3 linked regions of the Caenorhabditis elegans genome follow. The protein of the gene in region 1 purifies or fractionates together with the protein of each later gene. This does not show direct contact. Each region holds a gene or a part of one and is shown in the gene's direction. Other genes may lie near its edges.

Region 1 (5,402 bases):
AAGGGGAGAACAGAGAAAGTATCAGAATGAACCAGTTGGAAAAGGCAAAAATAAACTTTGATAACGAATTAACTGCGATTTTTCTTTTTATCGTCAGTGGTTTTTGCAGTGGTATAGGCCTCTCGATCTGCTGGCTCGATGTTCCGTTCTTCTGCCCATTTTGCGAGATCGCGACGCATAGCGTATGCATCTTCTCCATCCGCGTAATATCTGGAATTTGTCATTTTTGTTAATAATTAGGGTTAATAAGGTTCTAAAAGTTATCATAATTTGCAAATTGAAGTATGTTTCTTCTGATTGATGCCAAAGTTTAATCACCTCGCTCGCATATTTTTGTTTATTGTTTTAAAAAAGCGCCACGTTATTAAACGTAATTATTTTTCGAAACATTTTGTCCTTTCACTGATAATCACAATAACCTTTTTCAATTTGAACTTGACTTGGAACAAAAATTAAAAATAGGTGAACCAAAAAAGAATACAAAATTATTTAATTCCATCACTTCTGTAAAAAGTATAACGTTGGAAATCGAACGGGTGATTGGGAAACGTCGATTAGAATTTTTTCAGTTGTTCATCGAGGGACGAACTAATCCGCGCCGAGAAATGAGGATTTATTCAAATTAATACTTACTTTGGCTCTGTATCCACAATTTCGAATTTCAGTGTGTTCTTGTATAGATTCAATGCGGCTCGGTTTGATACACGAACATGAAGCGATACGTATTTAGCGTTGTAGGTTTCGACCATGGCTCTTGCGGTCTGATCCATCATTTTATTAGCCAATCCCAGACGTCTGTAAGATCTTTTGACGGCCAAAGAGGTGATATGACCATGTGGCTCCTCTCCTGGGTCTTCTTCCATTTTGGCGAGAACATATCCAACAACATTTCCCTGAACAACAATAAATGTTTCAAGTCAAGATTTGCATGAGAATAAAAAATACCTTGTGATCTTCAGCAATATAAGAGAGCTGCGGCCAAGAAAGAGCGTGATAGAAGTAGTATTTCATTTGATAATTCTCTGGAAGGCACATAAGATTCGCATTTTGCATGCTCATCAAATCGTCCACGCGAGCACAACGAATGTTCATCCTGCTGCAAAGATAGAGCAGTTGAGTAAACGGCACAAAAAATTCGGAAGCGAATGCAAAAGGAGAAAAAAATAGAGATTAATGGAGGATTTGCAATATACGAGCTTGTAAAAAAGTTATAACTCGAATTCGCCGAGGGGCAATACACCGTAGAAATAGAAACGTGGATAAGGTGGCACGTGAAACTTAAGTTTTTACTAAAACAATTAGGAAAGAACTATGTATCGCAAATGACAGAGTTTTGCAAATAAAATATTTATATTAAACTATTTTGTTCAATTTTAAAAGAATATCACGCAATATAAATACGAACAAACATTCTAATTGATGAAAACGAATTCTAAAAAGTGTATAATTGACAGTTCAAACGGTTTTGATAACAAACAAAAAGAAATGTACGGAAAATCCAGTTTTTATTGATTTGTCGAATTGTTGAAAGCCGTTGCAAGCCGGCTGCCGCCAGCAAGAAAATTAACGTTTAAAGGCGCATGCATTTATTCGAGAGATCGTGGCGAGACCTGCGCCCGCTTATCGATGAATTTCGAATTTAGAAACATTCTCTTTGTGTACTTTTTCATGTTTATCACTGAAATAAATCGCTTTTCTACGTTTTTTGAAGAAATTTTCTGCTTAAAAATTACTATAATGCATAAAATATCGAAATATATCATTACAACACATTTGGTCGCTGTTATTTCCTGATTTAACTCTAATTAGGACTTCCTAACTTTATTTTATTTATTTCAGGTACAATCAAAATGGGTTTCGACTCACCAAGAGGACGCGGAGGCGGAGGCTTCCGCGGTGGTCGTGGTGGTGGCAGTGGCTTCACCCCACGTGGTGGCGGTGGTGGATTCCGAGGTGGAGATAGAGGACGTTCTCCAGGCGGATTCCGTGGAGGCGATAGAGGACGTTCATCAAGCGGATTCCGAGGAGGAGATAGAGGTCGCTCACCAGGAGGATTCCGTGGTGATCGTGAAGGTGGATTCTCCCCAAGAGGACGTGGTGGAGGCTTCCGAGGTGGTGACCGTGGTGGATTCCGAGGTGGAGATCGTGGAGGATCTCCATGGCGTGGAGGAGACCGCGGCAACTTCCGTGGAGGTGATCGTGGTGGCTCTCCATGGCGAGGAGGAGATCGTGGTGTAGCTAATCGCGGTCGAGGAGATTTCTCTGGAGGGTCCCGTGGTGGCAATAAGTTCTCCCCTAGAGGAGGCGGTCGTGGTGGCTTCACACCTCGTGGACGCGGTGGAAACGATTTCTCACCGCGCGGAGGAAGAGGAAACTTCCAATCTCGTGGGGGAGGCAGCCGAGTTGGTTTTAGCGATAAGAGAAAACAGTATGATAGTGATGGAGATGACGACGAGGAAGAGGGTATAGTGCTGATTTTAGATTTATTTGCAATTATTCAATATTCCAGAAGTCCCGAAGAAAAAGCTTGCCACCGGAACTCCGTTTGCAAAACAAACAAAACCAGTAGAAGACGATTCTGGTGAAGACGAAGAAGATGAGGAGGAGAGTGATGAGGAGCCACAACCACCAAAGAAAACTGCTAAGAGTGCCATTGCTACGGCTGCTGAAGATTCTGACGATGACGAAGAGGACGATGATGAGGAGGAGGAAGAATCTGATGATGACGCTCCGCAGGTCAAAAAGTCTGTTGCTGTTGAGGAAGATGAAGAAGATGAGGAAGACGAGGAAGAAATTGAAATGGACGAAGAAGATGAGGAGGTATGTTTTTTTTTTCTCAAAGGCTGATTTTCTTGTGAAAATTTCTTTGGAAAATGTTGCAATGTTTATTTCGAGTTTCCTTTAATATTATTGTTTTCAGGAAGAAGAGGACGAGGAGGAGACCGAGCCTGTCGCTAAAACTCCAGCTGTAAAAAGCTCTCTCAAATCTGTCGACTCCACAAAAGGAAAGCAAGTCAATTTATCTAAGGTTGCAACCCCAACTACTGTTGACAAGAAAGCACCAGCAACCCCGCATCCTGCCAAAACATCAAAAAATGCTGCCGGTGATGTTCCAAAACTGAACTTTGATGATGACAGCGACGAGGAAGATGAGGAGGATGAAGAAGTAGAGGAGGAAGACGAAGAGGAGGAGGAAGAGGAAGAAGATGTTCCAGCTAAGAAAGCTCCAGTCCTCAAGCAGTCTTTAAGTCAAATAGCTCAAGCGATTGAGGAGGACAGTGACGATGAGGATGAAGATGAAGAAGAAGAGGAGGACGAGGAAGATGAAGAAGAGGAGGAGGATACCACAAATGTCCCACTTATCAAGTCGAAAGCTGATCTTCTCAAACAGATTGCTGCAAATCGTGCTGCTGCTTCTGCTGCTCAAGATAGTGATGAAGACGAAGACGAGGAGGATGAAGAAGACGTAGAGGAAGAAGATGAAGAGGAGGAAGAGGAAGAAGATATCCCAGCTGTGAAGCCAAAAGTCACCGAAAAACAAGGAGGTGTGAAGAGAAAGCTTGATGAGCCTACCGTCGCTTCTAAACAAGTCAAGAGCGATGGTAAATCAATTATCAGTGAAGAGGAGAGAAGACGTCAAGATAGAGATTCGCGTTCTTTGTTCATCAAAGAAATTGCTAAGAAAGCAAAAGATGCTGAAATCACTGGTCTTGTAACTGGACTCGATTCTTTCCGTCGCAAAAAGAACTCGAACTTTGGATGGCTTGTATTCAACACTGTCGCAGATTGCAAGAAAGCTCACGATGTTCTTAGCAAATCTAAGATTCAAGGAAAAGCTCTTTATGTAGACTTCTGTCTCAGTGAAAGCAAAGCTCCAAAAGAACGTACGTTTTAAAATTCCTTAGCCAAGCAAAGTATAATTTTTTAGATGGAGTTCGTCCGATTAATCCTCTCCAGCTCTTCATCAACGCTCTCCCAGGAACCTGCAATAACACAGACTTGAAGAACATCTTCCGTTCATCCACAGACATTAAGATCCTTCACGCAAGTGGTCAGCCAAACTCGAAAAAGAGAGCTTTCATCACTTTTGGAACCGTAGAAGACGCTCAAGCTGCATTCGCAAAATCAAATGGATTGAAGGTTAACAATCATCTAGTCGATGTGTTCTATGCGAGACATCAAGAGACGAAGGTTGACGTGAAACCAAAGAAGGCAGCTACTCCAGCGGTTCAAAAAAAAATTGTTCCGAAAGTTGCTGCTGATTCGTCAGGTGATGACAGCGAAGAGGTGGCGTCAAGTGATGAAGGAATTCAGGAAGTTGAAGAAGAACAACCAAAACAAAAGAAGCTCGTGAAAAAGGTAATTTCTAATCCAGATTATTTTAAAACCTTTATCTTCACTTTCTACAAAAAAAATTAAGGTTGAACCGAAGACTATTCCACGTGTGCAGCAGAAAAAGCCGCAATTCAAGAAGACCGGTTTCAAGGGAAAGAAATAAATTTACCATTGTTTACCATACCACTAATCTCTTCTAGATTTATTCCATCTTGTTGATCCATCTGTTCGCTCCTTGTTAAATCCCATTTTTTTTAAATATTTTTCATTGTTGTTGGTTTTATTGTTTCTCTTGCACAAATTATCAATCCCAATTGTTGTCCCAAAACGTTTTTCATTGTTTTCCCCTGCCTCTTCACAAATCCCTTTCATTTAGGTTATTTGAGTAAGTGTGCTCGGTGTATTTGATGTGCTCGACACTATCAAAAATAAAGTCATTGAAAATATATTCAATCGTGTAATCATTTTGTCATCTGTTTTGAATTTTGGTCAGAGTTATTTTCAATTTTTAGGAACACGTTCACTTATCCTGTAAAGCACTGAATGTAATGTTGAAGGATGATAAAAGAAAGAAGATGCAGTTGCCACGTCTCTGACCTTACTCTGATTAATTTTAATCACGTCTGAATATACGCGTGACCTCCACGTCATCCCCATGATGCCACGTTGGCACGGAGCTCCGTGGCTGAAATTGTTCAGTCTTGTTCATGTTTCACCATGAACAACCATAATTGCTTTCTCACCCCTCTCCAGCAGAAATTCATGCAAATTGTTAGTTCACACCTTTATATATTTTTCAGTTATCTGTTTTTTTGCAGCTATCCGACTATGAAAGAGATCCTAAATCGATCCAAATTCATGAGGAATCCGACCAAATGGATGTAGTGATCTCTTATTTCAAGCTGCTCCTAGCTGAAAAGTCCCGTCTTCTCCAATATGGTCAGGCTAACTTCTCAGTGCATCTCATCGATGAAGGTATGAATTCCAATTTTATAGATCTAATGTTTTTATGATTTTAAGAGATCGGCCGACTCTTCATGGCTCCAATCTCAATGGCTGACATTGGA
Region 2 (2,771 bases), on another chromosome or scaffold:
TGTTGAACAGTTCGAGAACCTCGTTTCCATCAACACCTTTCGGAAGATTTCCAACGTAGACTGTTCTTCGAATTTCTTCGACTTTGGCAGAATCCGTGTCAGCCGGTAGAGGTGGATAAGCCGGTAGTCCGAGCTGCTCCAGTGTCGGATCGACTGTAATCAACTGAAAAATGGAATAATTAGACGGCGCGAAAACTAGAAATATTGCAATTTCTAAAATATCAGGAATTTGAAAATTTCTAAATTTAATTGCTTTCATATCCGACGATGCGCAGCATAGATTGGCGAGGATACACTGAAACTGAAAATTTAATCATTCGGCGAGTACTAACAAAGTTTTTTGATGATTTTCTGGATTACGCTTTCGGGATTTTACTGCATTCGTCATTTGGGTAGTGGCCAGTAGAACTGTAAAATGAACAAGTAACGTCCGTTACCACCAGACGCTAGTTGGAAAACTAGTGGGAAAATAAACTTACCAAAGCAGATCCATCGTCAGATTCTTGAATTTTATTGGTGACGTGAGGTGGGAGCTGTCGCTGACCAGCCGTTGTAGATCCACCACTGTTGAAAAAACTCTCCTCGTCCGGAATCACAGCTGAAAAAATGAAACTTTATGAAAAAATGCAGCTTTCAAAAAACTCACGATTCGGATATGGTAGGCAGACTATCGCGCAATCGATGACGACTGTGTTGGTGAGATGCTGAGCTACTTCGACACATCGCTCGTCGTCGAACTTGATAAAAGCAGTTTTCAGGAGAGTATTAGCTGTGATATTACCTTCTGATGGATAGACCTGAAAGAATAAATTTTTAATTGAAATTTTTAATCGAAAAATGTGTAAATTTGGAATAATAAACCAACCTTCAAATCCTGAATTTTTCCGAGATAGTTGAACATGTTGTAGATGTGATCCCTGGTAGCCGATGTCGAAATGTTGGCGACATGGAGAATTTTTACTTTTTCTTTCTCCTCCCCCGACATTCCTGAAAATAAAATAATCAATTTTCGTCTTGAAAAATAGAAAAACAAAATGTAGTTCAATAAATTTAAACCGGCGACGTAATTTCAAAATTAACATGTAAAAATCTATCGAAAAGGCATAAACTATTAGAAAAAGTTAGATTTTTATCGAAATTTCGTTTAAAATCGATAAAAATCAGATAAAACATGTAAAATTCAGGTTAAATCGAAAATAAATGCAGCCAAATTCGAATAAAAAAGAATCACTGCATGTTTGGCAGCGTGCCAACATCTTGTCGCTGCGAGACCCGTCCACTGTCTGCGTCTCTTTTTGGGCCCTTTTCGAAAATTACAAGTAGTTTTTTTCTCTTTTCTTTTGTTTCTCCCGTTGCCCGTTGTATTTTTCTTCGGAAATTAAATAAGTTGGTACAATAAATTAAAAATAAATGGAATTTTGATTATCTATTACTTTCAGATATGTTACTAGTGCAAATCATCGTAAAAATTTGAATTTACAGCTTTGAAATCGTTTTTATTATTTTTTCTCTTGAATCGATAAATAATTCTTTCGCATTGTAGCAATTTTCAACCATCTTTATTTCAGAAAAGAAGAAAAATGGCCGATGATGGAGTCAATCCGAAGGCCTTCCCACTGGCCGATACCAACTTGTCTCAAAAGCTCATGGATCTCGTCCAGCAAGCGATGAACTACAAACAGCTCAAGAAGGGAGCCAACGAGGCCACCAAGACTCTCAACAGAGGAATCTCTGAGGTAAGTGTATCGTAACCATGTTGAATTGCATTCCCATTTTCAAAATCAATTTTCGAACCAAATTAATTGAATTGTTTCAGATCATCGTCATGGCCGCCGATGCCGAGCCACTGGAGATTCTCCTCCATCTTCCACTTCTCTGCGAAGACAAGAACGTTCCATACGTCTTTGTTCGCAGCAAGGCTGCCCTCGGACGCGCTTGTGGAGTCACTCGTCCAGTGATCGCTGCTTCAATCACTCAAAACGAAGGATCTCAGCTCAAATCTCAAATTCAGAAGATCAAGGAGGACGTTGAGAAGCTTCTCATCTAAATCCTTCTTTTATCAATTTGTTGTTACGTTACCTCATTGTTGTTATATGATAATCCATTCATTGTTTTGTTGTCCCAAATTGCAAATACATCGTTTTTGAAAAAGAATGAACGTTTCTGCGAAACATGGACATCTGATTGTTATCAAATTGCATAATCGGCTACACTGTTCTAAAGTGTATCTTGGACACACAAGTACTTCATTGGCGTATGATGATGCGAGTAAATAAACCTCCCGGAACCGGTTGCATTCTAATTCGACCCCCGTTTGCCCTAGAATGTGTCTCTTCCTAACCATTGGCTTGCTAATTCCACCCCAAACGCCGTCACAACCCGATAGGGCCGCCAAAAAAAAGGCAATCGCTGATAACTACAGGGAGTCGCTTCCTCCGGGAGAAAAGACGGTTTCTGGCAAGGCAAGCACCGCCCATCTCCGTGTGCTCTGTCTCTCCATTCCCGCCGCTCCGTGTTCCCACCAACATGCAACAGTTTTCTCTACTCTTCAAACTATTTCTAGCCACAGTTTTATTATCTGTAACTTATCGCTTTGTATGTGATCGGTTATATTCAAATCACAAATCCGATGTTAGTGGATTTGTCGATGAACGTTTCGAGAAAGTTCGAGAGGTTTTTAAGTAAGTTCGACCTTCCTGCTCTCTTTTTTTCTCATTTTTCTACCCGTGTGAAGTGACAAATGTGTTTGACTGAACTGAAATTAATATTTA
Region 3 (3,246 bases), on another chromosome or scaffold:
ACTAGGAATGTGGAATAACTGAAATGTTAAATTTTTTAGATTTCAAGCCCACGAGCCAGAGGTAGACCACGAAAAGCTACAAACTTGAAGAGCCAATTGACAACTCCACGTACTCCGGAAAAACAGTCGAGGTCACGATCTGGATCTCAGGGAACACCAGAGAAAAAGTCGCGAAAAGAGAGCTCATCGGAATCTGACAGCGAAGAAATTATTTCAACATCTTCCGAAGGGGCTTTGAAAGGAAGACGTGAAGAATTTGATTCACTGAAATTATGGATTATGAAAAGTAAAGAAACGAATACTTCGTTGTCTATTTATGTCAGTGGACAACCTGGAACTGGAAAAACTGCGACCACAATGAGAGTTCTTAAATCATTGGGAAAATCAGTTCGAAGTTGTATTGTAAATTGCGCTTCAACAAATACCAAATCAGCACTATTCAAAACGATTTTCGAATCTTTGGATTTGGACGGAAAGCCGAATGAAGAAATTTTTGAGAAGCACGTGAAGCAATTCAAAACTCCTCTGGTACTGGTTCTCGATGAGATTGATCATCTCGCGAATCGAAAGAACGCTGCACTCTACGCAGCTTTTCAATGGCCAGAGACGTTGTCTCGAAAAATTATCATTCTTGGAATTGCAAATTCGATTGATTTGACAGAACGACTTCTTCCAAAATTGATGCTCGCGAAGCCACCGAAAAGACTCGTTTTTGAACCGTATACGAAAGATGACATCGTAGAAATTTTGAATGATAAAATGAAAAACGAGGAGGTAAGTTTAAATTTAAAGGATGAGTATCGGTTTTCGGCTTGTATAGACTCAAAATGTACCAAAAAAAACTAATTTTGTAGTGAGAATTTTCAAAAAAACAATTATGGTGGCTAAAAAATTTCGAAGAAAAAAGCTATTTTTAAATAAAATCACCAATTTCGCCCATTTTCTAAGAACTTTTCAGCAGTCTCATTATGAAATTCTTTCGTTTGCGCACATTTTGATTCTTTCCAAGCGAAAAACTCAGAGAACCGGTGCTCCTAAGTTCATTTAGTATTTTACATTTTATAATTTCAGACTTCAATTGACGCAAAGGCAATCGAGTTAACCGCTCGTAAAGTGGCTGCAATGAGCGGAGATCTTCGTACCGCACTCCACATCTTCAAACAACAAAAAAGTCGTATGATTCCTGATGATTCAAAAGTTCCTGGTACCCCAGTTAATGGATGTCGTGAAGTTCTTGGAATCATCAACAATGTCTATTCGTCTCCATTGGCTCGTGCTCGTCTTCCACTTCAACCTCGAATTCTTCTAGCTGTCTCTTTAACACTTTCTGCCAACAAGAAATGCACATTCGATCGGAATTCCCTGCTCCGTGCCTATTATAAAGCTTGCGAGGCTCTTCGAATGCCCGCTCTTGATGACGATGAACTTCATTCAGCGTTCCAGACTCTCGAATCTCAATCCTTCGTCCGTCAGTTAAACGGCGGAAAGCTAGTTCTTCAAGTTGATGCTCCGACGGCAAAATCGGCTATCAGTGACAACGCGATGCTTGATCAAATTGGACTCCTTCAATTTTAATCGCATCTCCTGTAACATAATTTATATCCACTTCTATTTATTGAAATATTGAAAAAGTTTTGAATTTCTTACTTTGGCATTTCCCTGTAAACTTTATCATTCCTCTCACTTCCTTTCAACGCGTTCTCTCTTCTGAATACCTGTCCCTTTACCTTCGGGTACACGTTCTGTGTAATTTATAAACGTTCTCCATATTTATTACAAAACTTTTTGCTCTGAATTTTGGTTTTATATTCCAAAATTTTTTATCTTTATTTTATTATGTCTATAATTATTCTACCCATTTCTTAATTATTCAGATGCGTCCACTGACAGAAGAAGAGACATCGCTTGTATTTGCCAAGTTGGCCTCGTTCATCGGAGACAATGTCTCGATGCTCATCGACAGAAATGATGGAGATTATTGCTTCAGAAATCACAAGGTATTAATTAATTGTTCTTTATCCAATAAAAACTCGATTTGTTCTTCAGGAACGTGTCTATTACTGTTCGGAAAATCTGATGCGTCAAGCCGCCTGCATTGCCCGTGAGCCACTTCTCTCTTTTGGAACTTGCTTGGGAAAGTTCACCAAAAGCAAAAAGTTCCATCTCCAAATCACCGCTCTCGACTATTTGGCGCCGTATGCCAAGTTCAAGGTGTGGCTGAAGCCGAACGCCGAGCAGCAATTCCTTTACGGAAACAACATTCTCAAGTCTGGAATCGCAAGAATGACCGACGGAACTCCAACTCATGCTGGAATCGTCGTATACTCGATGACCGATGTTCCATTGGGGTATGTTCACATTTAATATTCAAGTTAATTAAATATATTTCTCTAGATTCGGAGTGTCAGCGAAAGGAACATCAGACAGTAAGCGTGCCGATCCAACTGCTCTCGTCGTTCTACATCAATGCGATCTTGGAGAGTATCTCAGAAATGAGAGTCATCTCGCTTAATCGGATTTTGGTCTCCATTCAAAAATTTTAAATTCCACAATTTTTCATTTTTCATTGTTATTCTCTTGTTGATGTTGTTTTTGTTGGTCTTCCTTTCAAAATTTTTCATTCAATTATAAAAAATTCAATCTAATTCTGATTCATTCAGGATTCACTTATTGAACAAAAAATTTGAAAAGGTTACGAGTAATAGGCCTAGTTAGTTGAGGTAAAAGCTGAAGAAGTCGAATCGGTGCATCGTCTCCATTTGCACGAAAATATGAAAGCAGGGATACCATGGATGGAAATCGATCGGCAATTGCTTCGGCTCGATTCTGAGACATTCCCGGGCAAACCATCAGCTGTCGGACCCAAGCTTCTTTCACAGTTTCCGCCTTCTTTTTCTGGAGAAGATTCTGGAGTTGGCTGAATGGAACACCCGAAATTTCTTCTATGGCCGCTTTGTTCTGCAAACGAATCGTCACTTCCTTGAGAAATGCAGCTGTGTCTCGAGTATCAGAGCATCTTTGAATAAGATATCCTCCATTGGAAAGAGTTGATGCTACGGCCTGGAATTTTTGTTAGAATTTTGAAAAATCATCAGATTCTAATTCTATATTCTACCTGTTCGCAAGCAACATCTCCTTTATGTTGAGCTTCAATCAAATAAACTCGATTCTTCATCGGAGCCATATTCAATCGTCCTTTCTGCTCATCATATCTACCTCCACGAATACTTGATTGCAGATCATCCC

The links. Proteins that work in one complex are often made in the same cells at the same time.
Region 2: the proteins of nucl-1 (region 1) and snu-13 fractionate together in Caenorhabditis elegans (co-fractionation; one large-scale study listed by BioGRID). This does not show direct contact.
Region 3: the proteins of nucl-1 (region 1) and C43E11.9 fractionate together in Caenorhabditis elegans (co-fractionation; one large-scale study listed by BioGRID). This does not show direct contact.

Annotation. Positions count from the first base shown.
Region 1 is NC_003282.8:8,285,967-8,291,368, reverse strand, and holds nucl-1 (Nucleolin homolog 1), read left to right. Parts: upstream 1-1,838; 5' UTR 1,839-1,850; coding exon 1,851-2,463; intron 2,464-2,509; coding exon 2,510-2,820; intron 2,821-2,920; coding exon 2,921-3,884; intron 3,885-3,928; coding exon 3,929-4,359; intron 4,360-4,420; coding exon 4,421-4,498; 3' UTR 4,499-4,782; downstream 4,783-5,402. Other genes in the region: N-alpha-acetyltransferase daf-31, read right to left, coding at 69-210, 634-893, 946-1,092; K07H8.9 (K Homology domain-containing protein), read left to right, coding at 5,053-5,106, 5,154-5,310, 5,356-5,402. UniProt on the Caenorhabditis elegans protein: Nucleolin is the major nucleolar protein of growing eukaryotic cells. It is found associated with intranucleolar chromatin and pre-ribosomal particles. It induces chromatin decondensation by binding to histone H1.
Region 2 is NC_003280.10:10,657,424-10,660,194, reverse strand, and holds snu-13 (Small nuclear ribonucleoprotein associated homolog 13), read left to right. Parts: upstream 1-1,568; 5' UTR 1,569-1,580; coding exon 1,581-1,736; intron 1,737-1,816; coding exon 1,817-2,047; 3' UTR 2,048-2,168; downstream 2,169-2,771. Other genes in the region: rsp-7 (putative splicing factor, arginine/serine-rich 7), read right to left, coding at 1-163, 480-598, 647-797, 866-985; lact-3 (Beta-lactamase-related domain-containing protein), read left to right, coding at 2,527-2,681. UniProt on the Caenorhabditis elegans protein: Binds to the 5'-stem-loop of U4 snRNA and may play a role in the late stage of spliceosome assembly. The protein undergoes a conformational change upon RNA-binding.
Region 3 is NC_003279.8:4,266,596-4,269,841, reverse strand, and holds C43E11.9 (60S ribosome subunit biogenesis protein NIP7 homolog), read left to right. Parts: upstream 1-1,874; coding exon 1,875-1,997; intron 1,998-2,046; coding exon 2,047-2,348; intron 2,349-2,394; coding exon 2,395-2,512; 3' UTR 2,513-2,643; downstream 2,644-3,246. Other genes in the region: cdc-6 (Cell division control protein), read left to right, coding at 40-774, 1,072-1,575; mus-81 (Crossover junction endonuclease MUS81), read right to left, coding at 2,668-3,060, 3,116-3,246.